Anolis sagrei: one gene and its partners. The protein of the gene in region 4 purifies or fractionates together with the protein of the main gene of each other region. This does not show direct contact. Links are inferred from orthologs where the notes say so. Each region holds a gene or a part of one and is shown on either strand. Other genes may lie near its edges. The genes, in order: TAF10, GLI1, ATXN7L3 and KAT2B.

What was found.
Region 1: the proteins of KAT2B (region 4) and TAF10 purify together in Homo sapiens (affinity purification with mass spectrometry; 6 studies listed by BioGRID and IntAct, with this or other methods). This does not show direct contact. The link is inferred for Anolis sagrei from reciprocal best matches to the Homo sapiens genes KAT2B and TAF10.
Region 2: the proteins of KAT2B (region 4) and GLI1 purify together in Homo sapiens (affinity purification with western blotting; 3 studies listed by BioGRID). This does not show direct contact. The link is inferred for Anolis sagrei from reciprocal best matches to the Homo sapiens genes KAT2B and GLI1.
Region 3: the proteins of KAT2B (region 4) and ATXN7L3 purify together in Homo sapiens (affinity purification with mass spectrometry; 5 studies listed by BioGRID and IntAct, counting the BioPlex papers as one, with this or other methods). This does not show direct contact. The link is inferred for Anolis sagrei from reciprocal best matches to the Homo sapiens genes KAT2B and ATXN7L3.

The regions. Positions count from the first base shown.
Region 1 is NC_090023.1:1,018,041-1,025,672, reverse strand, and holds the start of TAF10 (transcription initiation factor TFIID subunit 10), read right to left. Parts: upstream 3,001-7,632; 5' UTR 2,928-3,000; coding exon 2,340-2,927; intron 1-2,339. UniProt on the Homo sapiens protein: The TFIID basal transcription factor complex plays a major role in the initiation of RNA polymerase II (Pol II)-dependent transcription.
Region 2 is NC_090022.1:185,742,025-185,748,859, reverse strand, and holds the start of GLI1 (zinc finger protein GLI1), read right to left. Parts: upstream 3,018-6,835; 5' UTR 2,205-3,017; intron 1-2,204. UniProt on the Homo sapiens protein: Acts as a transcriptional activator. Binds to the DNA consensus sequence 5'-GACCACCCA-3'. Regulates the transcription of specific genes during normal development.
Region 3 is NC_090026.1:44,624,004-44,631,276, reverse strand, and holds the start of ATXN7L3 (ataxin-7-like protein 3), read right to left. Parts: upstream 3,023-7,273; 5' UTR 2,743-3,022; intron 1-2,742. UniProt on the Homo sapiens protein: Component of the transcription regulatory histone acetylation (HAT) complex SAGA, a multiprotein complex that activates transcription by remodeling chromatin and mediating histone acetylation and deubiquitination.
Region 4 is NC_090026.1:87,238,612-87,246,460, forward strand, and holds the start of KAT2B (histone acetyltransferase KAT2B), read right to left. Parts: upstream 3,004-7,849; 5' UTR 2,757-3,003; coding exon 2,433-2,756; intron 1-2,432. UniProt on the Homo sapiens protein: Functions as a histone acetyltransferase (HAT) to promote transcriptional activation. Has significant histone acetyltransferase activity with core histones (H3 and H4), and also with nucleosome core particles.

The DNA of each region.
Region 1 (7,632 bases), on a different chromosome or scaffold from region 4:
ACGGATGGCCAGGGAATCTTTCACGACCACCCGTATAGCGTCTGCAGCAAATAGATCATCAGAGCTGTTTCGGGTTGTCGGGGAGCTTCTTCACCCACCTGTGGTGGAGGGGATCATTGATGACCCAGCAGCTCGGTGTTGCGACTTCGCACACCATTTTGCAGGCAAAGTTGCTCAGATACGCCTTGAGCTTGACTCCAATTCCATCGCAGTGCCAGAGGAGGTGACGGAGGCATCTGCTTGTCCAATTTTGTGGGATTCTTTTAGGCTTGTTCTTCCTGAGACCATGGGGGAGGTCCTTGGGGCCGTGAGGGCGACCACTTCGACTCTAGACCCTTGCCCATCTTGGCTTATTAAATCTGCCAAGGAAGGGTTGGTTGATTGGTGTTGACTGTTAACGCATCGTTGGAGCAAGGGAATTTTCCATCTAACTTGAAACAGGCTGTGGTTCGCCCACTCCTCAAAAAGCCTTCCCTTGACTCCACGGTGCTGAACAATTATAGGTCAATCTCCAACCTCCCTTTTTTGGGTAAGGTGCTGGAGCAGGTGGTTGCCTCCCAGCTCCAGGGCTTCCTAGACAACATCAACTACCTAGATCAGTCACAGTCAGGTTTCAGGCCTGGTCATGGCACCGAGACAGCCTTGGTCGCCTTGGTTGATGACCTCTGTAGAGAGCTGGACAGGGGGAGTGTGACTCTGCTGGTTCTCTTGGACATCTCAGCGACTTTCGATACCATCGACCATGGTATCCTTCTGGGTCGCCTCTCTGGGATGGGCCTTGGGGGCACGGTTCTGTCGTGGCTCCGGTCCTTCCTGGAGGGACGAACCCAGATGGTGAAGCTGGGAGACACCTGCTCTGACCCCTGGCCTTTGACCTGTGGGGTCCCACAAGACTCCATTCTGTCTCCCATGCTTTTTAACATCTACATGAAACCGCTGGGAGAGGTCATCCGGAGTTTTGGAGTTGGGTGCCATCTCTATGCGGATGACGCACAACTCTACTACTCCTTTCCACCTAATTCCAAGGAGGCCTCTCGGGTGCTGGACGAGTGCCTGGCCGCTGTGTCTATCTGGATGAGGAGGAACAAGCTGAAGATCAATCCTGACAAGACAGAGGTCCTCCTGGTCGATCGCAAACCAGACCGGGATATAGGGTGGCTGCCTGTGTTGGACGGGGTTACACTCCCCCTGAAGCCACAGGTCCGTAGCTTGGGAGTCCTCCTGGATTCATCGCTCACGCTTGAGGCTCAGGCGTCGGCCGGGAGGGCTTTTGCACAATTGAGACTTGTGCACCAGCTGCGTCCGTACCTCGCGAAGGCTGATCTGGCCGGGGTGGTCCATGCCTTGGTTACCTCTAGACTGGATTACTGCAACGCGCTCTACGTGGGGCTGCCCTTGAAAACGGCTCGGAAATTCCAATTGGTCCAACGGGCAGCGGCCAGGATGTTAACTGGGGCCCACTACAGAGAGAGGTCAACCCTCCTGTTTAAGGAACTCCACTGGCTGCCGTTTATTTTCTGAGCCCAATTTAAGGTGCAGGTGCTTACCTACAAAGCCCTGAACGGTTTGGGACCACCCTACCTGCGTGACCGTATCGCTGTCTACGAACCCACACGCTCACATCAGGAGAGGCTCTGCTCGTGATCTCGCCCGTGTCGCAAGCGCGCTTGGTGGGGACACGAGACAGGACTCTGGAACGCCCTCCTGAAAGATCAGACAAGCCCCTACATTGGCTGTCTTCAGAAAGGAATTGAAGACCTGGCTGTTCCGATGTGCCTTTTCAAATTAGGAACCTCCAGCACCAAATCCTAGAAGCACCTTAGTAGAACCAAGATCACTGCACACTGCACATCGCACTTATATCTAATCCTACATCTGTCCTGCCACACCAGCACTTTTTAACCCAGTACCCCTACTCTGGCCGGCTCAGTTTTAATAGTGTTTTGTTGTATTGTTACTGTTATTGTTTTCCTGCTTAACTGTTTTTAATTTGCTTCGGGTATTGTATTGTTGTATTGTGTTTTGGGGCTTCGGCCTGTGTGAGCCGCATTGAATCCCTTGGGGAGATGTATACAAATAAAGTTATAATAATAATAATAATAATGAGGGGCCACCACCGAGAAGGCCCTGCTCCTCGTCCCCACCAACCTCACTTGTGATAGAGGTGGGGCCGAAAGCAGGGCCTCCCCAGAAGATCTTAGACTCCGGGGTGGGACGCTTAAGCGGCTGAGGGGGAAATGGAAGGGGGCTGAGGCCAGGAATGCTGGGAATTGGAGTCCCAAACCCCTGAAGGAAGGAAGGGAGGGAGGGGGAGAAGGGCCTGCAGTGCTGCCACTCACGGTAGGCGTGTAGTCCTCGAGCTGGAGCAGGAAGTCGACGAGGGGGGCGGCGGAGGCGTTGGCGGCAGCGGCGGAAGGGGAGGCGGCGGAAGCGGAAGCAGCGGCGTTCGAGGGGGGAGGCGGGGCGGAGGAGGCAGAGGCGGGGGAGGCGGCGGCGGAGAATGCGCATGCGCCGCCGGGCTTGGCCTCCGCGTTGGCCGGCAGCGCGAAGAGACCCCCGTTGGGCGCCGAGGAGGAGGACGACGAGGAGGAACTGGAGGAGGAGCTGGACGAGGAAGAGCTCGAGGAGGAGGAAGGAGGGCCTTCAGCCGGGACGGGAGCCGAGGGAAGGAGCAGGACGGCGGTGGGGAGGGAGGGGGCCGTGGCGGGGGGAAGAGGAGGAGGAGGCGCGGAGGAGGAAGCGGAAGTGGAGGCCGCAAGGCCTGTCCCCGCGCCGGGGCTGCTGCTGCTTCCGCTTCCGGCCTTGGAGGGGGCTTCTGCGGAGGGAGGGGCTGCCGAGGCGACGCCGGAGGGGGGAGGCGCGGCGCCGGAGGGAGCCCCGGGCCCGGCCTCGCCCTCCCCGCTTCCCGCTCCGCCTGTCGAGCTCATCGGGTCGGCCGGGAGAAGTGGCGCATGCGCACCATGCTCTCGCCCACTTCCGGAAATGGCCGCTGCTCTTGAAACCACGCCTAATCGAAGGCCGGGCGAAGTGGCGCATGCGCACCACACTCATAACACTTCCAGAATGGCCGCTGCTCCTGAAGCCACGCCCCCTCGAAGGCCGGGCGAAGTGGCGCATGCGCACCACGCTCTCGCCCACTTCCGGAAATGGCCGCTGCTCTTGAAGCCACGCCCCCTCGAAGGCCGGGCGAAGTGGCGCATGCGCACCACACTCACACCCACTTCCAGAATGGCCGCTGCTCCTGAAGCCACGCCCCCTCGAAGGCCGGGCGAAGTGGCGCATGCGCACCACACTCACGCCCACTTCCGGAAATGGTCCGCTGCTCCTGAAGTGCACTCACATCCGGGTCTAGCCCTGACCAGAGTACCCGGATGTTAGACTTGGTTGGTTTATATATCCCGCTTTATCCCTCTCTATATTATCCCAACATGACATGTGTTGTTGTTCATTCGTTCAGTCGTCTCCGATTCTTCGTGACCTCATGGACCAGCCCACGCCAGAGCTCCCTGTCGGCCGTCACCTCCCCCAGCTCCTTCAAGGTCAGTCCATGTAATATACATGTAATATACATGCAATATATAAATATTCCAGTTTTGTTTTGCAGTTTGACTTGAAAAAACCAGGTTGTACGTTTCATACAAATTAGGAATGAGTTTTTTTTAAAACATTATTTATTTATTATTTATGTATTTGCTTTGCTTCTCTACGGCTGTATCTCAAGCCCGAAGGCGACTCACAGCGGTTCACAAACAGTAAAAACAGTAGAAACAGCAGTGGTTCCATACAACATAGAACAATTGACTTAACACATTATCCATAAATTACCAATAAGCAATTACAATGCACAATTATGACAAAAAACAACCGTACCCAACCTTCTCATCATCCAAGCGTAGTCCAGGTTCGTCGTCCATTGTTCCATTCCGATGTTCCATTACCAGATTGCACTAAATTACTCAAACGCCTGCACAAACATCCAGGTCTTCACCTTTTTGCGGAATACCATTAGAGATGGTGCCAGTCTAATGTCCGCAGGAAGGGCGTTCCACAGCCGAGGAGCCACCACCGAGAAGGCCCTATCTCTCGTCCCCGCCAGCTGAGCTTGAGAAGCAGGCGGGATCGAGAGCAGGGTCTCCCCGGAAGATCTCAAAGTCCTGGTGGGTTCATAGGCAGAGATGCGGTCGGATAGGTAGCTTGGGCCGGAACCGTTTAGGGCTTTAAAGGCCAACGCCAGCACTTTGAATTCAGCCCGGTAGCAGATCGGTAGCCGGTGGAGTTGGCGCAACAGGGGGGTTGTATGCTCCCTGCGCTCCGCTCCTGTTAAAATCATGGCTGCCGAGCGTTGGACTAGTTGGAGCTTCCGAGCTGTCTTCAAAGGCAACCCCACGTAGAGAGCGTTGCAGTAGTCAAGGCGGGATGTAACCAGAGCGTGGACTAATTTTATTAGGAGATGCTTCCAGGTTGTACTTTTGATACAAATTAAAAAATGAGGTTTTTAATATTTTTAATTTTTAGTATTTTTAATTTTTAATATTTTATATATATATATATATATATATATATATATATAATTTTTATATTTTATATTTATATTTATTTTAATATATATATTTATAATTTTATATTATATATATATAATATAATAAATAATAATTTTAATATAATCTAATTATCATATTTATATGTATATATTAAATGTTTTATATTTATATATTAAATAAATATTTATTTATATTTATATATTAAATAAAATTAATAATTTTAATATTTAATAAATCATAAATTTAATATAATATTCCAATAACTATAATATTACATATTGCATTTTTATTATTATATTATTTTACGTAAAGGTTTTTAAGATCTTTATTAAGAGACACTTGCAGTTTGACTTGAAAAAATCAGGTTGTATGTTTCATACAAATTAAAAATGAGGTATTCAATACTTTTAAATTTTAGTATTTTTAATATTTAATATTTATATTTATATATTTATATGTATGGATTAAATATATTTTATATTTTAATGTTTATGTTTATATATTAAAGAAATATTTATATCTATTTATATTTATATATTCAATAACAATTAAAAATTTAATATTTAATAAAGAAAAATAATATAATATTCCAATCATTATAATGTTATATACTGCATTTTTATTATTATATTGTTTTAAAACATATTAAGAGATGCTTGCAGTTTGACTTGAAAAAATCAGGTTGTACGTTTCATACAAATTAAAAATGAGGTATTTAATATTTTTAATATTTAATATTTAAAATATATATTTATATATTAAATAAATATTTTATATTATGTTATATATATAATATTTAATACATAAGTTTAATATAATAATCCAATTATTATAATATTACATATTGCATTTTTATTATTAAAAACTGCTTGGCTGCAGAAGTTGCAAACCAGAAGATTGGCAGTCCAAACCCAGGGGGCGAGGTGAGCTCCCACTGTCAGCCCCAGCTTCTGCCAACCTAGCAGTTAGAAAACATGCAAAAGTGCATATATCAATAAGTACTGCACCAGCGGGAAGGTAATGGCACTCGTGTGTCTATGGATAATGCCGACTCTTCAGCTTACAAATGGAGGTGAGCACCAGAGTCCCAGAGTTGGACACAGATAGTCTTAAGGTCAAGGGGAAACCTTTACCTTAGTATTATATAGTATGCTGTATCATAAGTTGCAGTATATATAATGTATTACAACATCATTAATATTATATGTTGTTGTTCATTCGTTCAGTCGTCTCCGACTGTTCGTGACCTCATGGAGCAGCCCACGCCAGAGCTCCCTGTCGGCCGTCACCACCCCCAGCTCCTCCAAGGTCAGTCCAGTCCCTTCAAGGATGCCATCCATCCATCTTGCCCTTGGTCGGCCCCTCTTCCTTTTGCCTTCCACTTTCCCCAGCATCATTCCCTTCTCTAGGCTTTCCTGTCTCCTCATGATGTGGCCAAAGGATTTCAGCTTTCCCTCTCGTCTCCTTCCCTCCAGTGAGCTTTAGTCGGGCTTTATTTCCTGGAGGATGGACTGGTTGGATCTTCTTGCAGTCCAAGGCACTCTCAGCACTTTCCTCCAGCACCACAGCTCAAAAGCATCGATCTTCCTTCGCTCAGCCTTCCCTAAGGTCCATCTCTCACCTCCGTAGATGTGACTACAGGGAAGAGCATGGCTTGGACTAGGCAATGGATCTTGGTTGCCAGTCTGATGTCTCTACTCTTCACTATTTTATCGAGATTGGACCTTGCTCTCCTCCCAAGAAGGAAGCGTCTTCTGATTTCCTGGCCACAGTCTTCATCTGCAGCAATCTTTGCGCCTAGAAATACAAAGTCTGTCACGGCCTCCACGGTTTCTCCCTCTATTTCCCAGTTGTCAATCATTCTTGTTGCCATAATCTTGGTTTTTTTGACGTTTAGCTGCAACCCGGCTTTTGCGCTTTCTTCTTTCACCTTGATTAGAAGGCTCCTCGGCTCCTCCTCGCTTTCGGCCATCAGAGTGGTGTCATCTGCATATCTGAGGTTGTTAATGTTTCTTCCAGCAATTTTCACCCCAGCTTTGCATTCATCCAGCCCCGCACATCGCATGATGTGTTCTGCATACACGTTAAAAAGGTTGGGTGAGAGTATGCAGCCTTGCCGGACGCCTTTCCCAATCTTGAACCAGTCTGTTGTTCCGTGGTCAGTTCTGACTGTTGCTCCTTGGTCCTTGGACAGATTCCTCAGGAGAGAGACAAGGTGGCTTGGGATGCCCATCCCACCAAGAACTTGCCACAATTTATGATGATCCACACAGTCAAAGGCTTTAGAATAGTCAATGAAGCAGAAGTAGATGTTTTTCTGACACTCCCTGCCTTTCTCCATTCTCCAGCATCCAGATATTTGCAACCTGGTCTCTGGTTCCTCTGCCTTTTCTAAACCCAGCTTGAACATCTGGCAACTCTCGCTCCATGTATTGCTGGAGTCTTCCTTGCAGGATCTTGAGCATTCCCTTACTGGCATGAGGAGAAATAAGGGCCACTGTACGGAAGTTGGAGCAGTCTTTCGCATTTCCCTTTTTTGGTATGGGGATATACGTTGATTTTTTCCAGTCTGATGGCCATTCTTGTGTTTTCCATATTTGCTGGCATATGGCATGCATCACCTTGACAGCATCATATGATATATGTCTGTGTGTGTATGTGTGTGTATATATATATATATATATATTAGTGTTCTTACACTACAATGTTATTATTTCTATAATTTTTTGTTGTTTACTCATTCAATCGCTTCCGACTCTGCCTGACCTCCTGGACCAGACCAGCCCAGAGTTCCCTGCCAGACGTCTCTCTGGTTGCACTGATCCAGTTAGTTTTCCTGGCAAGAATACTGGGGTGGGTTGCCATGATCTTCCCCAGGGATCATATTTAGTCTGACCTCTTGTCTTGGGTGTCCCTTCACAGTTTCACTCGTGGCATCATCAAGTCGCTCAAGCTCCAGCACCGCAACAAGGCAACTATCCTTTGCCGGAAGATCTGTATATATTGTATACGTTGCAGCGGCCTTTAAGGAGGCACTTTTTTTGTTGTGTCAACTTGAGAAACTGCAAGTCGCTTCTGGTATGAGAGAATT
Region 2 (6,835 bases), on a different chromosome or scaffold from region 4:
CAGAACTGTTTCTATGATTTTGCAGAACAGGATTGATGGAGACTTCTTTTGGGTGGTTGAATCAAAATCTGACAGAAAGAAAAGATGTGAGAGGGGTGCGGAGAGCAATCTGGCAATGTCCGTTCTCTGTTGGGTCTGGCCAACAATCAAAATTCTGAAAGTGTAGAAACTTGCTTGGAATCAGAAAGTTTACCACCCTCAAAAGTTTGCTTTTGAGGCCGGGTTTCAAGACAGGAGCTCACCAACTTCTTCCTGGACAAGATGTGTTTTCAGCCCCATCTACACTATCATATATGACCCAAATTATCTCCTTTGACCTGGATTATATGGCAGTGTAGACTCAGGGCCCTTTTATACTGCCATATAATCCAGATTATCAAATCAGACGATGCACATTTTTGGCTTTGAACTGGATTATGGGAGTCTGCACTGCCACATAATTCAGTTCAAAGCAAATCATCTGGATTTTATACGGCAGTGTAGAAGGGACCTCATAGAATCCACTTCAACAGAGATGATGTGGATGATCTGCTTTGATAACCTGGGCCCCATCCACACATCTGAATAAAATACCACATTATCTGTTTTGAACTGGGATATATGGAAGTGTGGATTCTGGGCCTTCCAAACAACCCTATACCCCAGAATATCAAGACAGAAAATCCCACATTATCTGAGTGTGGACTCAGATAACCCAGTTCAAAGCAGATATTGTGAGATTTCCTGCCTTGATATTATGGGATATAGGGCTGTGTGGAAGGGCCCTTCGATAACCCAGTTCAAAGCAGATATTGTGGGATTTTCTGCCTTGATATTATGAGATATAGGAATTTGTAGAAGGGCCCTGAGTCCACACTCAGACAATGTGGGATTTCCTGCCTTGATATTCTGGGATATAGTGCAGTGTGGAAGGGCCCTTCGATAACCCACTTCAAAGCAGATATTGTGGGATTTCCCACCTTGATATTATGGGATATAGGGCTGTGTGGAAGGGCCCTCAGATATTCCAATTCAAAACAGATATTGTGAGATTTTCTGCCTTGATATTATGGGATATAAGGCTGTGTCAAAGGGCCCTGAGTCTACACTCAGATATTGTGGAATTTCCTGCCTTGATATTCTGGGATATAGTGTTGTGTGGAAGAGCCCTCAGATATTCCAATTCAAAGCAGATATTGTGGGATTTCCTGCCTTGATATTCTGGGATATAGGGCTATGTGGAAGGGTCCTCAGATAACCCAGTTCAAAGCAGATATTGTGGGATTTTCTGCTATAGGGCTGTTCAAAGCAGATATTGTGGGATTTTTTGCTACAGGGCTGTGTGGATAGGTCCTGAGTCTACACTCAGATATTGTGGAATTTCCTGCCTTGATATTCTGGGATATAGTGTTGTGTGGAAGGGCCCTCAGATATTCCAATTCAAGGCAGATATTGTCGGATTTCCTGCCTTGATATTCTGGGATATAGGGCTATGTGGAAGGGTTCTCAGATAACCCAGTTCAAAGCAGATATTGTGGGATTTTTTGCTACAGGGCTGTGTGGATAGGTTCTGCGTCTACACTCAGATATTGTGGAATTTCCTGCCTTGATATTCTGGATTATATGGCTGTGTGGAAGGGCCCCTGGACTATATGGTAGTATAGATCCAGCCTTCAAAAATCCTTTTGGGGCCCTTCCACACAGCCATATAACCCAGAATGTCAAGGCAGACAATCCCATAATATCTGCTTTGAACTGGGTTGTCTGAGTCCACACTGCCATATATTCCAGTTCAAAGCAGATACTGTTGGGTTCTATTCAGCTGTCTGGAAGGGGCCTCAGCCATATAACCCAGAATATCAAAGCAGAGAATCCACAGGGACAGGATTATGTGAGTCCACACTGCCATACAATTCAGTCCAATGTGGATTTTATACAGCTGTGTGGAAGAGGCCTTTGAAGAAAGTTGAGACAAATCCGACAAACTTTGTAGCAGTTCAGGAAAGAAAGAAAAAAAACCCCATAACATTCCCATTCCTTTCCCAATTCCCACCCACGCTGCTTGCTTTTTTGCTCATGTCAGAAAAAAACAAAAACTCAGGAGTGTTGGAAAGGCAAAACCTGCCAGTTGCCAAAAACAAAACAAATAAGGTCCATCTCCCCAAACCAATGGGAGATACACACAAATAGACACAGAACTGGGCTTTGAAGAAGAAAGAGCTTACCTTTCAAAGCCTGGATGGGGATTGTTGGGGAGTCATGATGATCCCAAGCACAGCTCTTGGGCTTCTCGAGATGGGCAGTTTCCCTCTCTCTTCGGATTGGTTTCCCCTAGGCTAGCAACATCCAGGGTGGGCTACTGAGTGTCGCCCGCAAACAACAACAACAAAACCCCATCAGGAAAGAAGAAGAGATGAGGGAGAAGGGGGGTGGCTTCTTTCACCAGATCCCCCAAATTTTCCACATTGTGGCTTTGCCTTCTTTTTGTAGAGGAAAGAAAAGGGAGGCAGAAAATCCCACCGACGCTGATTAATATATATATTGCTCCCCTTCTTCTTCTTTTTCTCCGAGATTCAAATCAAACCAACTTCATCCCAGGAGCAGGCGCGATGATCAATGTGCGAGCCTCCCGTCTGGAGCCCGAGAGAAGGACCACCTTGAAGCAGGAAGTTTTGGTTTGCTTTCCAAACTTTCCCGATGCTTTGCTTGAGCTTTGGCACATGGAGCCAATCAGCCCGCTCCGCCTGGGCGGCCGGCTGGGGAAAGGAGGGCTGGGCGCAGCAGCAGCAGAGAGATGGGCCAGGAGGGGATGGGATCCCCTCTTTCTCCCCCAAATCTCTCCCCCCAACACTCCCCTTTAGGGCTTTCAGGCTGCTCAGGAAGAAGAGGAGGAAGAGGGTGGTGCTTTCTTTCTTTTTTTCTTTTTTTTTCAGGGAAAGTTTTCAAGATTTCTTTCTTTTTTGTTGTTGTTGAGAAGGTGGGATCTTTAGCAGCAGGAGGAGGGTAAGCTGAGCCCTGTGTGAGGTTGGAGATGAAGGAGCCCCTCTCAGCCTCAGTTCTCACAGCATGCTGCCTCCCAAGCCTCTGAAGCAGCTTGGAAAATCCGGGCTGGAGTTTGGGGGCCCTTCCACACAGCCCTATAACCCAAGATATCAAGGCTGAAAATCCCACAATATCTGCTTTGAACTGGATTATCTGAGGCCCCTTCCACACAGTCATATAACCCAGGATATTAAGGCAGAAAATCTCACAATATCTGAGCATGGACTCTACCCAGGGCCCTTCCACACAGCCCTGTATCCCAGGATATCAAGGCAGAAAAGCCCACATTATCTGCTTTGAAGTGGGTTATCTGAGGGGCCTTCCACACAGCCATATAACGCAGGATATTAAGGCAGATAATCCCACAATATATGAGTGTGGATTCAGATAACCCAGGGCCCTTCCATACAGCCCTATATCCCAGAATATCAAGGCAGAAAATCCCACAATATCTGAGTGTGGACTCGGGGCACTTCGACACAGCCCTATATCCCATAATATCAGGGCATAAAATCTCACAATATCTGTTTTGAACTCGGTTATCGAAGGGCCCTTCTACACTGCCCTATATCCCAGAATATCAAGGCAGAAAATCCCACAGAATCTGAGTGTAGACTTAGGGTCCTTCTACACAGCCCTATATCCCAGGATATCAAGGCAAAAAATCCCACAATATCTGAGTATGGACTCAGATAACCCAGGGCCCTTCCACACAGCCCTATATCCCATAATACCAAGGCAGAAAAGCACACAATATTTGTTTGAACTGGGTTATCTGGAGGCCCTTCCACACAGCCCTATATCCCAAAATATTAAGGCAGAAAATCCCACATTCTCTGAGTGTGGATTCACATAACCCAGGGCCCTTCCACACAGCCCTATAACCCACAATATCACAGTAGAAAATCCCACATTGTCGGAGTCGGGATTCAGATAACCCAAGGCCTTCTGCACAGCCCTATATCCCAGAATATCAAGGCAGAAAATCACACATTATCAGAGTCTGGACTCAGATAACCCAGGGCCCTTCCACACAGCCCTATAATCCAGAATATCAAGTCAGAAAACCCACAATATCTGCTTTGAACTGGATTTTCTGTGGGCCCTTCACACAGCCATACAACTCAGGATATCAAGGCAGAAAAGCCCACAATATCTGAGTGTGGACTTAGATAACCCAGGGCCCTTCCACACAGCCCTATATCCCATAATATCAAGGCAGAAAAGCCCACAATATTTGCTTTGAACTGGGTTATCTGAGGGCCCTTCCACACAGCCCTATATCCCAAAATATTAAGGTAGAAAATCCCACATTCTCTGAGTGTGGATTCACATAACCCTGGGCCCTTCAACACAGCACTATATCCCAGAATATCGAGGCTGGAAATTTCGTATTATCTGAGTGTGGACTCAGGGCCCTTCCACAAATACCTATATCTCATAATATCAAGGCAGAAAATCCCACAATATGTGTTTTCAACTGGGTTATTGAGGGGCCCTTCCACACAGCCCTGTATCCCAAAATATCGAGGCAGAAAATCCCAACAATATCTTCTTTGAACTGGGTTATCTGAGTCCACACTCAAATAATGTGGGATTTTCTGCCTTGGTATTCTGGGATATAGGGCTGTATGGAAGGGCCCTGGGTTATGTGAATCTACACTCAGAGAATGTGGGATTTTCTGCCTTGATATTCTGGGATATTGGACTGTGTGGAAAGGCCCTCAGATAACCCAGTTCAAGGCAGATATTGTGGGATTTTCTGCCTTGATATTCTGGGATATAGGGCTGTGTGGAAGGGCCCTGAGTCCACTGCCATATATACCAGATACTAGGCCTGGGCGGTTTCGTTTCGTTAATTCGTAATTCGTTAATAATTCGTTAATTTTTTCAATTACAAAACGATAACGAACCATTCTGGAGCAATTTTTTAAAAAAACGAATTTTTAAACACGTTTTGCAAATGCTTCGTATTTCGTTATTGTATTCGTTTCGTTATTGTTCTGAGGTCGTTTTGTTATTATTTCCGCATGTCTGGGCCAGTTTTATGGTTTAATTAGTGAAAAAAAATTATAATATCACACCAACAGTCAACAACAGAGGGAGAGGGAAGCTTCAGAAGTTTTTGGAGGTTTTTTAGCGTATTTCGCGGTCGCGTCCGCCATTAACGAATCGATTCGTTATTGTTTCGGAAATCGATTCGTTAATGTTTTGTAATTTTTTTCACATTTACGAAATTTCGTAAATATCGAACTTTTTTAAAGGAAAATTTTGTAATTATTTTAAATAACGAAACGCAAAAACCCCCAAAAAACGAATCGATTTTAGAAACAAATTTTTCCGTTGTTACCCAGGCCTACCAGATACTGTTGGAGTCTATTCAGCTGTGTTGAAGGGGTCAGAGAGGCGTCCTTCACCATCATGGCACATAGTAATAGCTAGCTACGGTGGCCACTTCCATGTGGTTGCAGAGGGCAAGTTGTCAGCACAGTGTTTGGGCAATGCAGCATGCATTCAGGGCTTTCATAGAATCATAGAATCATTGAGTTGGAAGAGACCTCGTGGGCCATCCAGTCCAACCCCCTGCCAAGAAGCAGGAAAATCACATTCAAAGCAGCCCCGACAGATGGCTATCCAGCCTCTTCTTAACAGACTCCAAAGAAGGAGCCTCCACCACACTCTGGGGCAGAGAGTTCCACTGCTGAACAGCTCTCACTGTTAGAAAGTTCTTCCTCATGTTCAGGTGGCATCTCCTTTCCTGTAGTTTGAACACCTCACAGGAATAGGCTTTGGAGGTACTGTTCTGTAGGGGCTCCTGTCCTTCTGAGAGGGTCATTCCCAGAAGGTGTTGTTGGGGGACACCTGCTCGGGGTCCTGCAGGGCTCAATACTGTCTCCCAGGTTGTTTAACATCTATATGAAGCCCTTGGGAGAGATCATCCGGAGTTTTGGAGTTCGATGCCATCTGTATGCAGATGACATTCAACTCTATTACTCCTTTCCACCTGCTAATAAGTAGGTTCTGTTCAGGTTTTGAACCGGTGCTTGGCAGCTGTGTCAGCCTGGATGGGAGCAAACAAATTGAAATTGAATCCAGACAAGACAGAGGTATTCCTGGTCAGTCACAAAGCCAAGCATGGTATAGGGTACAGTCTGTGTTCGATGGGGTTACACTCCCCCTGAAGGTGCAGGTTTGCAGCTTGGGAGTCCTGGACTCATTGCTGAGCCTGGAATCTCAGGTTTCAGCAGTGGCCAGGGAAGCATTCACACAATTAAAACTTGTGCGCCAGTTGCGCCTGTATTTTGGCAAGTCAGACTTGGCCATGGTAGACCATGCTCTGTTTACAACCCATATAGATTAATTCAACATGCTCTACATAGGATTGCCCTTGAAGACTGTTTGGAAGCTTCAAATAGTCCAATGGGCGGCAGCCAGAGTGCTTACCAGAGCAGACTCCCCTGTTGCGTCAGCTCCACTAACTGTCGGTCTGCTACCAAGCACAATTCAAAGTGCTGGTTTTAGCCTATAAAGCCCTAAATGGTTCCGGCCCAGCTTACCTGTCCTAACAGATCTCCTCATATGAACCATCTCAGAGTTTAAGATCCGGGGAGGCCCTGGTCTCGGTCCCACTTCCTTCGCAGGTGCAACTGGTGGGGGCAAGAGACAGGGCCTTCTCAGTGATGGCCCCTCAGCTGTGGAATTCCCTCTGAAGGAATATTAGATCAACCCCCTCCCTCCTAACCTTCAGTGAGAGAGTAAAAACGTGGTTCTTTGATCAAGCCTTTGGAGAAACCGTGCAATAAACAGATATAGA
Region 3 (7,273 bases), about 43 Mb from region 4:
GAAACGACTTGAAAGCACACAACAACAATCCTATCTCATCAGCCAAAAGCAGGCCCACACTTTCCACTGAAATAATAACAAGTTTATATTTGTTAGAATTGTTCCTCATTTTAACTATTGTATTGTTTTTAAGTGTTTTTTGCACTACAAATAAGATATGTGCAGTGTGCATAGGAATTCATTCATGTTTTTTCAAATTATAATCCAGCCCTCCAACAGTTTGAGAGACTGTGACCTGGCCCTCTGTTTAAAAGGTTTGATGACACCCCCCCCCCCCGATCTACAGTGTGAAATTAATGCCATTTGACCCTACTTTTAACTGCCATGGCACAATGCAGCAGAACCCTGGAATTTGTAATTTGGTGAGGCAGCAGGACTATTTGGCCTCACCTGAACTGCCATGGACTCAATGCTATGGAAGAATGGGAGCTACATAGTTTGGTGAGGCATCAACCCTCTTTTGGAAAGAGAAGGCGAGAAAGTAACACTACAACTCCCATTAATCTACTGCATAGAACCATGGTAGTTCAAGTGGGGCCAAACTTCATCAATTCTATACACCGACCAATGTTGTTTTTGTTGTTGGTATTATTCTGTTCGTTTATACCCTGCTTTTTCTCTCCACAAGGAGACTCAAAGAGGCGTACATTAAAAACATTTCAATATGGCTTAAAATCTACAAATATTAACACATTAAACAGAATTAATAGAGGGCCCTTCCACACAGCCACATAACCCAGAATATCAAGGCAGATAATCCACAATATCTGCTTTGAACTGGATTATCTGAGTCCACACTGTCATATATTCCAGTTCTGTTTTATTCTGAGTTTTATCTTTTTGTTACATGTTTATATGCTTTATTCAGTTGTATTTTATACAACTGAATAAAGCATAGGTTTTTTAATTCTTGTGTTTATTGTCTACGTGTGAGTTATACTAATTGTAGTGTTTATTTTGTTTATTACTTGTTTTATTGATGTGTTGTTGGGCTTGGCCTCATGTAAGCCGCTCCGAGTCCCTTGGGGAGATGGTGGCGGGGTATAAATAAAGTATTATTATTATTATTATTATTATATCATCATCATGTCTTGATTTAAGCACCTTGTACCTTGTGTAAGCTGCCCCAGTCCCTTCAGGGAGATGGCTATGGGATATAAGAATAAAGTTGTTGTTGTTGTTGTTGTTGTTGTTATTATTCAATGTGCATTTTATACAGCTGTGTGGAAGGGGCCTGAGTTCCCTCCCAAAGTGTGGATGCACCCCTTGAGCATGGAGATGGGAGCTGTAGTTTGGAGGAGCACAGACACTCTTGGGCAGAGAAAGCCCAAGACCTGGTACAAGCCACAACTCCCATCATCGTATTGTAGTTTGAACTGCGACCGAGCTGCATTAATTACAATGCAGGTGCACCCCTTGAACATGAAGACGGGAGCTGCAGTTTGGTGAGGTACTTCTGGCAGAAAGAAGCTAGAGGCCTGGTAAATAAAACTACAGATCCCAGGATCCCAAAGCATGGATGTTTAAAGATGGGAGATGTAGTTTAGTGAGCTGCTCTTGGGCAGAAAGACGCTAGAGGCCTGGTAAAGAAAACTAAAGATCCCATGATCTCATAGCATGGCAGTTTAAAGATGAGAGCTGTAGCTTGGTGAGACACTCTTGAGCAGATAGAGGTTAGAGGCCTGGTAAACAAAGCTACAGATCCCATGATCCCATAGCATGGGGCCATGACAATTTAAAGATGGGAGCTGTAGTTTGGTGAGGCACTCTTGGACAGAAAGAAGTTAGAGCCTGGTAAACAAAGCTACAGATCCCATAGCATGGAACCATGACAATTTAAAGATGGGAGCCGTAGTTTGGTGAGGCACTCTTGGGCAGAAAGATGCTAGAGGCCTGGTAAATAAAACTACATATCCCATGATTCCATATCATGGAGCCATGACAACTTAAAGATGGGAGCTGTAGTTTGGTGAGGCACTCTTGGGCAGAAAGAAGCTAGAAGCCTGGTAAATAAAACTACAGATCTCATAGTATGGCAATTTAAAGATGGGAGCTGTAGCTTGGTGAGACACTCTCGAGCAGAAAGAAGTTAGAGGCCTGGTAAACAAAGCTACAGATCCCATGATCCCATAGCATGGAGCCATGACAATTTAAAGATGGGAGCTGTAGTTTGGTGAGGCACTCTTGGGAAGAAAGAATCTAGAGGCCTGATAAACAAAACTAAAGATCCCATGATCTCATAGCATGGCAATTTAAAGATGGGAGCTGTAGTTTAGTGAGGCACTCTTGTGCAGAAAGAAGATAGAAGCCTGGTAAATAAAACTACAGATCTCATAGCATGGCAATTTAAAGATGGGAGCTGTAGTTTAGTGAGGCACTCTCGGGAAGAGAGAAGCTAGAGGCCTGGTAAATAAAACTACAGATCCCATAGCAAGACAGTTTAAAGATGGGAGCTGTAGTTTGGTGAGGCACTCTTGTGCAGAAAGAAGTCAGAGGCCTGGTAAAGAAAACCACAGATCCCATGATCCCACAGCAGGGTTAACTGAGGTCTCTCCCAGCATGGGCCAGCCTTGAAGGTGTGGCAGCTAAAGTGGGACCAAACTGGATTAATTCTCCAGTGTAGAAGGAGCAGGGTGAAGCGAGGTCCCTCCTCCTCCTCCATCCCCTTTTGTTTCCCTTCAGTGCAGAGCCCTGATTCCCGCTCCCTCCCTCTCCACTCCTCCTCCTCCCCTGGGGACTTACCCCCCACTCTCTCCTGAGGCGGGCGAAGGGCCCCCATGCCTGGCCCCCAGGCGGCGTGCTGGGCCCCCGGCGACGCAGCCATGCCCCCTCCCCGCCGGGCCCGGGCAAGAAGGGAGCCAGTCCGGCCTAGCGCCTCCTCCTCCGCCTCCGCCTCCGCCGCCGCCTTCCCTCCAGCTCCAGCATCGGCGGCAGCAATAGGGAAAGGGAAAGGGGAGGGGGCCACCTTTTGCAATCGGAGCGCAACCTAGCTCGCTAGGCTCCGGCAAGGAGGCGGGGCCTGGCGGGGAAGGCCGCGGAGGAGGAGGAAGCGCACGCCTAAGAGCAGCGCGAGGGGGAGGAAGCCAGCCAATCGCAGCCATCCTTTTCCCCCTCCTGTCATTCAAGGTTGTATGCGAGGAAGAGCTGCTGCTGCTGCTGTAGAGGCTGGGCGCATCTTATTCCATCAGTGTTGCCCAAGCTCTTTCTTTTTTGCCTTCATCTCCCAGAATCCCTCATCATTGTCCCAAGCAGCTGAGGCTTCTGGGAATTGGAGTCCAAAACACCTGGAGGACCAGGGTTTTGATTTACACCAGAACTGAATCCAACTTTTAACTACTCTTCTACAACAACAACAAAACTTTATTTATATACCGCTCTATCTCCCCGAGGGGACTTAGAGCGGTTTCCAAATAGCATAATCAATACATACAATACTTATATTTGAGTATATAAAGGTAAAGGTAGTCCCCTGACATTAAGTCCAGTCATGTCTGACTCTGGAGTGTGGTGCTCATCTCCATTTCTAAGCCAAAGAGCCAGCGTTGTCCGTAGACACCTCCATGGTCATGTGGCCGGCATGACTGCATGGAGCGCCATTACCTTCCCGCCGGAGAGGTACCTATTGATCTACTCACATTTGCATGTTTTCGAACTGCTAGGTTGGCAGAAGCTAGGGCTGACAGCGGAAGCTCACGCCGCTCCCCGGAATCGAACCTGCGACCTTTCAATCAACAAGCTCAGCAGCTCAGTGCTTTAACCCACTGCGCCACCGTTACCTTCCCGCCGGAGCGGTACCTATTGATCTACTCACATTTGCATGTTTTCGAACTGCTAGGTTGGCAGAGAATATACGGTTTATTTATTTATCGTGTCAGGGGCAGACCAAACAGTTGCATTACATTTTTAACAAACAAACAAACAAAACAAAACAAAACAAAGTTTGCAGGCTTGGCAGTTGATTAAATGTCCTTTGACCAGTATCTGGCCACTTGGAGTGCCTCTGGTGTTGCTGCAAGAAGGTCCTCAGCAAGCGAGAGTCCAAAAGTGGCAGGCTCAAACCCAGCAACTCAACCAATGGCTGATACCAAATGAGAGACTCCCCCCTGGGCACACAGAAAACTGGGCGACTTGGAAGGCACTGAACAGACTGCGTTCTGGCACCACGAGATGCAGAGCCAACCTCAAGAAATGGGGCTACAAAGTGGAATCCACAACATGCGAGTGTGGAGAAGAGCAGACTACAGACCATCTGCTGCAATGCAACCTGAGCCCTGCCACATGCACAATGGAGGACCTTCTTGCAGCAACACCAGAGGCACTCCAAGTGGCCAGATACTGATCAAAGGACATTTAATCAACTGCCAAGCCTGCAAACTTTGTTTTGTTTTGTTTGTTTGTTAAAAATGCAGTGCAACTGTTTGGTCTGTCCCTGACACGATAAATAAACAAACCGTATATACTCAAATAAGTATTTATGTATTTATAGTACTTATATTTGAGTATATACGTTTGAGCCTGCCACTTTTGGACTCTTGCTTGCTGAGGTGTTCCAGCGAGTGTCTCTGTGGATCTTAGAAAACTATTTCTTGATTTAAGTCATTGACGAGCTGGCTGATACCCAAACAGGGGATGAGCTGGAGATGTCACAGCCTTGGTCCTTTCACTATTAGTTGCTACTTCCCAGTGAATGTCAGGTGGTGCAATACCGGCTTTGCCTGGGGACATGAGAGAAGCCTCCTCGCAGGATTGCAAGAAATCCAAGCATCCCCTGGGCAACGTCTTCGTAGATGGCTGATTCTCTCATTCCAGAAGTGACCAGAAGCGACATGCAGCATGCAAACAAGCAAGCAAAACAACCAACAGACCTTTTCAGTATATACGGTGTATACTCAGGCATGTAACCGGGGGGGGGGGGGGGGGCTTGAGGGACTTCAGCCCCCCCCCCCCCAAATTCTCATGATGGTCCACGAGAAGGCCTTACTGGTGCATTATTTAAACTGTTATGTTTATTCATATCATGATGTGATCACCATACTCAATATTGTATTGGAGTAACAATACAAAAGATTTGCTAGGGTAGACCCTCTTTCACTCAGACTCAGCCCCCCCCCCCCCCCCCATCAAAATCCTGGCTACAGGCCTGTGTATACTTAAGATTAAGGTGTATTTGGTTACAAATTGGCCACCCCCTCTTTTTCTCTCTGTACTTGTATATTTATAATTTTACTCAGCCTAGATGTTAGCCAGAAGAGATAAGGAACTATTTTTAAATAAGCAATGCATGGAAGTGGAAGAAGACAACAGAATAGGAAGAACACGAGACCTCTTCCAGAAAATTAGAAACCTTGGAGGTAAATTTCAGGCAAAAATTGGTATGATAAGAAACAAAGATGGCAGGGACCTAACAGAAGCTGAAGAGATCAAGAGAAGGTGGCGAGACTATACGGAAGATCTGTATAGGAAGGATAATAATATTGAGGATAGTTTTGACGGTGTGGTGAATGAATTAGAACCAGACATCCTGAGGAGTGAGGTTGAATGGGCCTTAAAAAGCATTGCCAACAACAAGGCAGCAGGAGATGACGGGATCCCAGCTGAACTGTTTAAAATCTTAAAAGATGATGCTGTCAAGGTGATGCATGCCATTTGCCAGCAAACATGGAAAACACAAGAATGGCCATCAGACTGGAAAAAATCAACTTATATCCCCATACCAAAAAAGGGAAATGCGAAAGACTGCTCAAACTTCCGTACAGTGGCCCTTATTTCTCATGCCAGTAAGGTAATGCTCAAGATCCTGCAAGGAAGACTCCAGCAATACATGGAGCGAGAGTTGCCAGATGTTCAAGCTGGGTTTAGAAAAGGCAGAGGAACGAGAGACCAGATAGCCAATATCCGCTGGATAATGGAGAAAGGCAGGGAGTTTCAGAAAAACATCTACTTCTGCTTCATTGACTATTCTAAAGCCTTTGACTGTGTGGATCATAATAAATTGTGGCAAGTTCTTAGCGGGATGGGCATCCCAAACCACCTTGTCTCTCTCCTGAGGAATCTGTACAAGGACCAAGTAGCAACAGTCAGAACTGACCACGGAACAACAGACTGGTTCAAGATTGGGAAAGGCATACGGCAAGGCTGCATACTCTCACCCAACCTTTTTAACTTGTATGCAGAACACATCATGCGATGTGCGGGGCTGGATGAATGCAAAGCTGGGGTGAAAATTGCTGGAAGAAACATTAACAACCTCAGATATGCAGATGACACCACTTTGATGGCCGAAAGCGAGGAGGAGCTGAGGAGCCTTCTAATCAAGGTGAAAGAAGAAAGCGCAAAAGCCGGGTTGCAGCTAAACGTCAAAAAAACCAAGATTATGGCAACAAGAATGATTGACAACTGGAAAATAGAGGGAGAAAATGTGGAGGCCGTGACAGACTTTGTATTTCTAGGTGCAAAGATTACTGCAGATGCAGACTGTAGCCAGGAAATCAGAAGACGCTTACTTCTTGGGAGGAGAGCAATGTCCAATCTCGATAAAATAGTAAAGAGTAGAGACATCAGACTGGCAACAAAGATCCGCCTAGTCAAAGCCATGGTATTCCCTGTAGTAACCTACGGATGTGAGAGCTGGACCTTAGGGAAGGCTGAGCGAAGGAAGATCGATGCTTTTGAGCTGTGGTGTTGGAGGAAAGTTCTGAGAGTGCCTTGGACTGCGAGAAGATCCAACCAGTCCATCCTCCAGGAAATAAAGCCCGACTGCTCACTGGAGGGAAAGATACTAGAGACAAAGTTGAAGTACTTTGGCCACATCATGAGGAGACAGGAAAGCCTAGAGAAGACAATTATGCTGGGGAAAGTGGAAGGCAAAAGGAAGAGGGGCCGACCAAGGGCAAGATGGATGGATGGCATCCTTGAAGTGACTGGACTGACCTTGAGGGAGCTGGGGGTGGTAACGGCTGACAGGGAGCTCTGGCGTGGGCTGGTCCATGAGGTCACGAAGAGTCGGAGACGACTGAACGAATGAACAACAACAGATGTATACTGTACATTGTGCTTATATTGTGTGTTATGATAAGGCCAATTGGCTGATCAATAAAAATGGTTTTGCTTCAATTTAAAAAAAATACATACAAGGAAAACAGCATAAACAAACAATTCACAAGACAATATAAGCATAAAAACCACAATAGCACATAAATATTTAAAATAATCCTGCCTGTTCAAGGCAGTTTAAAAGGCCAGGCCGGGGCTAGTGTCCGGGAAATTAGGTAGA
Region 4 (7,849 bases):
TAATCCTACTTTAATATTTTTACACAATGGATTTAAATTGTATTTTTAATTTTGTGTCTTGATCAAGAGATAAAAGTGAGATAATAATAAACATAAACATAAATATAAATAAAATAAATCAGTATGGGGCAATAGGTCACACAAATGGGTGCAAAATGGGGAAACTGAACTCAAGTCTTAGATTTGGAATTAAAAGGGATAAATTGGGAAACTCTTTGAGTTTGAGAGGCATGGGAGGAAGAGGAATTTGGCAATGAGAGTTTGAGCAATGTTATTCTGTGAGGAGAGGAATGGGAGAGGTTGATAGCTGCAAGTCATAGGTAACAAGGGACACACGACTAATACTAAACATGGGCAGTGTTTTTCTCACTACCTCTGAGGATGCTTGCCATAGATGCAGGCGAAACGTCAGGAGAGAATGCCTCTAGACCATGGCCATATAGCCGGAAAAAACCTACAACAACCCAGTGATTCCAGTCACAAAAGCCTTCGACAATACAGTGTTTTTCTTGATACGTAACTACCACCTGATTCTGCCTAGATCAAATGTGTGTACTTTCAGGCTGTCTGTCAATTTATGGCGATCCTATAACTTTCATAGGGTTTTCTTCAAAGTGGTTTTGTCAGGTTCACCTTGGTGGTCTCCCATCCTAGACCTAACCAAAGCTGACTCTACTTAGCTTACATGATGAGAGATATTTCTGTCTGTGAGGGATAAAAGCTTCCAAGCCAAGCTTTACATTCAAGCTGATATAACTATGTATTGTTGAAGCCTTTCATGGCCGGAATCACTGCATCGTTGTAGGTTTTTCCAGACTGTATGGCCATGTTCTAGAAGCATTCTCTCCTGATGTTTCACCTGCATCTGTGGCAAGCATCCTCAGAGGTTGTGTAGATGGGACCACAGACTTGGTGCATGGAGTTAGTTTCACTTAATTCGGATTAGTTACCCCCAATATGTGGTAACCATTGGGAAGGATGCATGTGCACTGTACAATTAATGCTGTTTGAGACCTCACAACCTCAGAGGGTGCTTGCCACAGATGCAGGCGAAAGGTCAGGAGATAATGCTTCTAGAACATGGCCATACACCCCGAAAAACCTACAACATTGCAGTGATATAACTATTTTAATACCTATTATATCAGGCATGGGCAAACTTCAGCCCTTTGAGTGTTTTGAACTTCAATTCCCAGAATTCCTGGCCTTGGGCCCATTCCTTTTCCGCCTCAGCTGCTGAGGCCAGGAATTCTGGGAGTTGAAGTCCAAAGCACCTGGAGCGGCGTGAGCTTCCGTTGCCAGCCCTAGCTTCTGCCAACCTAGCAGTTCAAAAACATGCAAATGTGAGTAGATCAATAGGTACCGCTCCAGCGGCTTAGAAATGGAGATGAGCACCACATCCGAGCGCCAGACATGACTGGACTTACTGTCAGGCAGGCATGTAGCGGGGGGGGGGGGGGGGGGGGCTTGAGGGGCTTTAGCCCCCCCCCCCCCCAAAAAAACTCTCATGGTGGTTTGCGAAAAGGCCTTACTGGTGCATTATTTAAACTGTTTATTCATATCATGATCTGATCACCATAGTCAATATATCCCATATGCATGGGGGTATTGGGGTAACGATACAAAAGGTTTGCTAGGCTAGACCCTCTTTCACTCAGACTCAGCCCCCCCCACCCGAAACAAACTCAGCCCCCCTCCCCCCGAATCGAAATCCTGGCTACCGGCCTGGTCACAGGTTCCATTTCAGGGAGCAGCATGAGCTTCTGCTGTCAGCCCTAGCTTCTGCCAACCTAGCAGTTCGAAAACATGCAAATGTGAGTAGATCAATAGGTACCGCTCCGGCAGGAAGGTAACGGCGCTTCATTCAGTCATGCTGGCCAGATGACCTTGGATGTGTCTATGGACAACGCCGGCTCTTCGGCTTAGAAATGGAGATGAACACCACACCCCAGAGTCAGACATGACTGGACTTACTTTACCTAATCCGAATTAAGTGAAACTAACTCCATGCACCAAGTCTGTGGTCCCATGTTCACTACTAATTCAGATTGAGCTGTATTCTATGGTCAGTGCAGATGGGGCCTGAGGTCGCATACTGTTTGAGCTTCGTTAGGAGAGGGAAACAGGATGTAAATACAACAACATTAGTAACAACAACAACTTTGCGCTTCTAGAGAGAAACTTGTTGCCAGCCAGACACCAAGTGGGAAAAAACCCCACACTCTATTGTGCGTGTCATTCTCTGTGTTTTGATCCTCTCCTTTTAATCCAAGGAGTCAGGCGCGACCCCTCCCTTGCCCTCTCCTCCTGTCACTCAATCCTCCGCCGACACCCAAGCGGGCGCCCCCTGTCGGCTGCCACGGGGAAGCGCGCCGCTCGCCTCTCCCGCTCCGGGTCTTGGGGCTTATGATGATTCCGGGGCCGGTGCTTACCTTGCAGGCGGAATAGACGCCCAACTTCTCCAGCTTCTTGGCGCGGGGTGCGGAGCGGAGCTGCGCCTTCTTGCCCGCGATGCGAGCCGAGCCGGGTCCCCCGCTGCCTGTCCCGCCCGTGCTGCTCCCGCTGCTGCTCCCTCCTCCTCCCGCTGCTGTTCCCGCTGCAGGGCTGGTTTCGGCGGGCGCAGGAGGAGTCGCGGCGGCCGGAGCTCGAGCGGGCGTCCCCGCTGAAGCCGGCGAGCCTTGCTGGAGCGCCCCGGCCCCGCCATTGCTGTTCCCCGCCTCGCCCTCCCCCGGCCCGGCCGCGCCAGCCTCAGCCATGGCGGGGTTGCGGTGTGGGAGTCGCTGCCGCCGCCGCCGCCAGGCTCGCTGAGGGCCGGGCTCGGGCGCCCGCTGGAGCCGCGCCTCCGCCTGCTGCTCCCTCGGGAGGGAGGGAGGGGACAGGCCGCACACCGCGGGCGGGTCCTGTCAGGAAAGGAGGAGGAGGAGGAGGAGGCGCCCGCTAAGGAGGCAGCAGCGCGCACAGCCAGCAGGCCGACATGTTGTTGTTGTGAGCGCCTTGCGGGCGGCACTCACCACACTGAGGCGTCCCTCGCCGGGTGCCTCAATGACGCGCCCTCAGAGTGTCACTGAGGGATTGAGGGAGGGTCGCAGTGGCTTCCACATCCCTCCGGTGTTTTGGACTCCAACTCCCACCATTCCTAACAGCCTCAGGCCCTTTCCTTTTCCCCCGCTTAAGCGGCAGAGGGGGGAAAGGAAAGGGCCTGAGGCTGTTAGGAATGGTGGGAGTTGGAGTCCAAAACACCCGGAGGACCGAAGTTTGCCCATGCCTGCTCAAGAGGTTACTTTTCTGAGGGTGAAGCCTTCACTTCCATATCCCTCAAAGGACTACTTTTCTGAGGGTGAAACCTCCACTTCCGTATCCCTAAAAGGGCTACTTTTCTGAGGGCGAAGCTTCCACTTCCATATCTTCCAAAAGGCTACTTTTCCGAGGGCAAAACCTGCAATTCTGTATCCCCCAAAGGGTTACTTTTCTGAGGGTAAAACCTTCACTTCCATACCCTTCGAAGGACTACTTTTCTGAGGGCGAAACCTCAACTTCTGTATCCCTCAAAGGGGTACTTTTCTGAGGGGGAAACCTCCACTTCCATATCCCTCAAAAGAGGCCCCGGTGGTGCAGTGGGTTAAACCCCTGTGCAGGCAGGACTGAAGACCCACAGGTCGCAGGTTCGAATCCGGGGAGAGGCGGATCAGCTCCAGCTCCTCATGCGGGGACATGAGAGAAATCTCCCACAAGGATGATAAAAACATCAAATCATCCGGGTGTCCCCTGGACAACGTCCTTGCAGACGGCCAATTCTCATACCAGAAGCGACTTGTAGTTTCTCAGGTCGCTCCTGACAATATATATATATATATATATCCCTTAAAAGATTAGTTTTCTGAGGTGAAATTTCCACTTCGGTATCCTCAAAGGGCTACTTTTCTGAGAGCAAAGCCTCCACTTCTGTATCCCCCAAAGAGCATCTTTTCTGAGGGTGAAATCTCCATTTTCGTATCCCGCAAAGGGCTACTCTTCTGGGGTGAAACCTCTACTTCCGCATCCCTCAACATGCTACTTTTCTGAGGGCAAAACCTACACTTCCATATCCCTTAAAGGGCTTTTTTTCTGAGGGATTGTTCTGAGGGCTAAACATCTGCAAAGGTGCAGAGGGCAAGATGAGCTTCTCAGAAAATAGTGCTTTATTTCTGGGAGTTTTAGGGAAAAACACCTTCTTCAGTAGCTCTCAGAAAGGAACCTTGAGGGAAAATTACTGTTCTGAGGACAAAATGTCCCATTTAGTGGCCCTCACTAAGAGGCTCGAGGGAGAAAGATTACAGTGGCAGAGGGAGCAGCAGGAGCTTCTCAAAAAACAACTTTACATGCATTCTGAGGGCAAAAATTGCCACTTCAATAGCCCTCAAAGGGCTACTTTTCTGAGGGATTGTTCTGAGGGCAACATGTTCACTTCAGTAGACCTCATGAAGGAACTTGAGGGAAAATTATTGTTCTGAGGGGGAAAAATCCTAAACACCTGGAGGGCTGAAGTTTGCCGATACCTGATTAAGCACCATTACACTGATGGTTTAATGTAGTCCGAAGCTAGCTTCACACTGCAATGGACATACAACAAACTTCCACAAAAGCGTGTGAAAGAAAGCCCTTAATGTGCATCACTGTTCCGTGGTTTGTGGCCCCATCTGTACTGACCATTTAATGCAATTTCAAATCAGCATTGAAAAAAGTGGTTTCAGTGTACAAATAATTACATAGGATATCCTGAAACCAATTGGAGACCTGGATAGTGATGATACAGGCCCCATCTACACTGACCATTGAATTCAGTTCAAAGCAAGTTTCAAACTGTGGTGGCCAATCAATAAATTCCCCAGAAAAGTGAGTGAAAGAAATCCTTTAATATTTCTAGGTAGTTTATTCGAATGGCACAAACTTCCATTTCAGTATCCCTCGGGGGTGGGGGTGGGGATTATTCAATTGTATGTTTTCCTATCTGTATATTGTAATCCACTGTGAGTCCCTCCGGGGAGATAGAGCAGAATATAAATAAAGTATTATTATTATTATTATTATTATTATTATTATTACTATTATAATTCTTGTTTTCAAATATGTATGTGCTGGAGTTTGGTTCCAGGGTTACATTTTATTTCACACACCTGTATTTGTCCACCAAAAATCTGTGCTTTTCATTTCCACTGTTTGCTCCCCACTCCCCCCCCCTTTTTTTTTTACAAGTCATGGAAGGTTGACTCCCTGGATAAAGAATGTGTGGATACAGAGGGCCGATTGTAAATATAACACTCTTGAGTAGGAATTAGTTCACAATGAACATAAGTCATAAAAGCACTCTCTAGTTCCTGCGGTTGTGCTACTTATTTGCTTGTTTAAAAATCTATACACTGTTCTTCAGCAATGCTTCTAAGGAGATAACTAAATCGAGATTAATTGTGATAAATCCCAGCATTTAAAAACAGGAATAACTTTGCCTGGCACGAAAAGTACTGCCACCATGCACACATCTCCAGGGAAGAAATTCCATGAATGGATAGGAGGAAAGGAAATCACAAAGTGAAAAAGCCCCCTCTCTGGTTTCCACCTTTCTTATCTCAAATGCCAGGAAGCCCTTCAAAGACAGCCTCAACACATGATTGGTACATGAGCAAAATCTTTCTTCAGGTACCGAGGCTCAAAACTGAATAAGTTTTAAAAGAAAACACCAGGACTTTGAACTGTGCTTGAAAACAGACTAAGCTGCCAGCGAAGTCCCTTAAGCTCTACCAAGGTAATATGTTCAAAAAGGCAAATAATGGTTCATAAGGTAGCAGCTGTATTTTGAAATCTCTGTAAATTGTTGCTGTTACATCTGTCATAAATTAATCCAAGCAAGTTTAATCAGTAAGAAACAGAAGGTGGAATGGACATTTAATTATTCTTATGTGGCTCTATAAGCTAATGCCATAAAGGGGAAATGTGCAAGTACACTCGACCCTCCACATCCATGGGTTCGCTACCCACAGATTCAACCAATGGCTTGAAAATATTTTGGAGAAAGAAGTCAAAAAACCAAACTTTAATTGGCTGTACACCAATTGGCTCTACACCTTATGTTTAGTCGTACCTTGCAGTAGCCTTGGACCATTTCACAGATCCTTAGGCTCTGGCATTTTTGAGGTGAAATAAAACCACACTGGATACCATTGTATGATGTAACATGGATATTGACTATAGTGTATAAGGTCTCTCTTCCAAGCCAGATGCGTTTTAAGGTCCTTGTCAGCACCATGGCAACATATTAACAGATGTCCAGGGTAGAGGGTTAATTTGTATTGCTCTCTCTCTCTCTCTCTCTTTTGCATTGGCTTGCCAGTTTGAGAATAAGTAAAGATATGAGAGCAGACTGGTCCTGCTCTCTATATCCCAGGACCTGATCCCAGATTATCTGATTTGAACTAGATTGTATGAGTCTACAGTGCCAGAAAATCAGGGATAAGAAAATAATCTGAGATCAGACCCTGGGATGTAGAGCAGTGTAGGTCCAGTCTGGGTAAGGAATTTTCCTCTGTTGCCAGTTCGCTTGAATAGTTCCGATTACAAATGAGATGAGGAGATGGATAATGGTTATGTACTTTGATTACTTTTTTGTGTTTGCACTATACCATATGATTCCCTTATCTGCGGAGGATAGTTTCCAAAATGTACTATACTGTGGAAAATGAAAATCGTGGATAATATTGAACCTGATTGAAATAATAATAGTATACTTTATTTATATTCTGCTCTATTTCCCCAAGGGGACTCAGGGTGGATTACAGAACACATATATGGCAAACATTCAATGCTGTTGTACAATTAACAAGAACGGACTATATAAACAGATGTAAAGGCTTTCCCATCTTTTTCCATTTCCGACATCTGGCTGTGCTCGACTCCAGCCGGGTGTATGTGTGTGTGTGCTGTCACTCAATTTTTCATGCCAAGGAGCCTTGTCATCCATAGACGTCCTCCCAATCAAATTGTCAGCATGTCCTTACGGGTGACTTTTATTACCTCCCCACTTTTAAAGTGGCACCTATTTATCTACTCATATTGCTGTTTTTGATCTGCTAGTTGAGCAGAAGCTGGGGCTGAGGGTGGGAGCTCACTCCAACCAGGGCTCGAATTACCAACCTAGGATTTTCTGCAGCTTAGCAGTTTAACCTGCAGTACAAAGCCTGGCCCCATAAGGAATCTCTTCCACCAAAGTTACTATGCAGCTGCCATAGAATCATTGTGAAGTTAAATGTATTGTCAAAGGCTTTCATGGCCAGAATCACTGGGTTGTTGTGAGTTTTCTGAGCTGTATGGCCATGTTTCGGAAGCATTCTCTCCTGACATTTCGCTTGTATCTATGGCAGGCATCCTCAGAGGTTGTGAGGTCTGAGTGTGAAGTTACCACAGAGTCAGCATAGATGTGCCCCTTATAGCAATATGTTTGGCACCGAAAGAAGTCTTGAAGAAACCTAGAACTACATCCAGTTCTGAAGCAGAACCATGGGTCAAATCCAGGGTGCATTCACACTGTAGAATTAATTCAGTTTTAACTACTATAACTCAGTACTGTGGAATCATGGGCATTGTAATTTTGCAAGGTCTTTAGCCATCCCTGCCAAAGAAATCCCAGTATTCAATGACATTGAGTCATAGCGGTTAAAAGGGTGTCAAACTCTATCAGTTTCATAGTCTGGATGCACTCCCAGACTTACACATGCAAAGAGATATCAATGGGACTTCAGCAAACAGCAGAAGACTAGCAAGGCATAGTGATTTCACTGGGCCTCTTTTAAATACACCTAACCTGGATCCAATTCGTTGA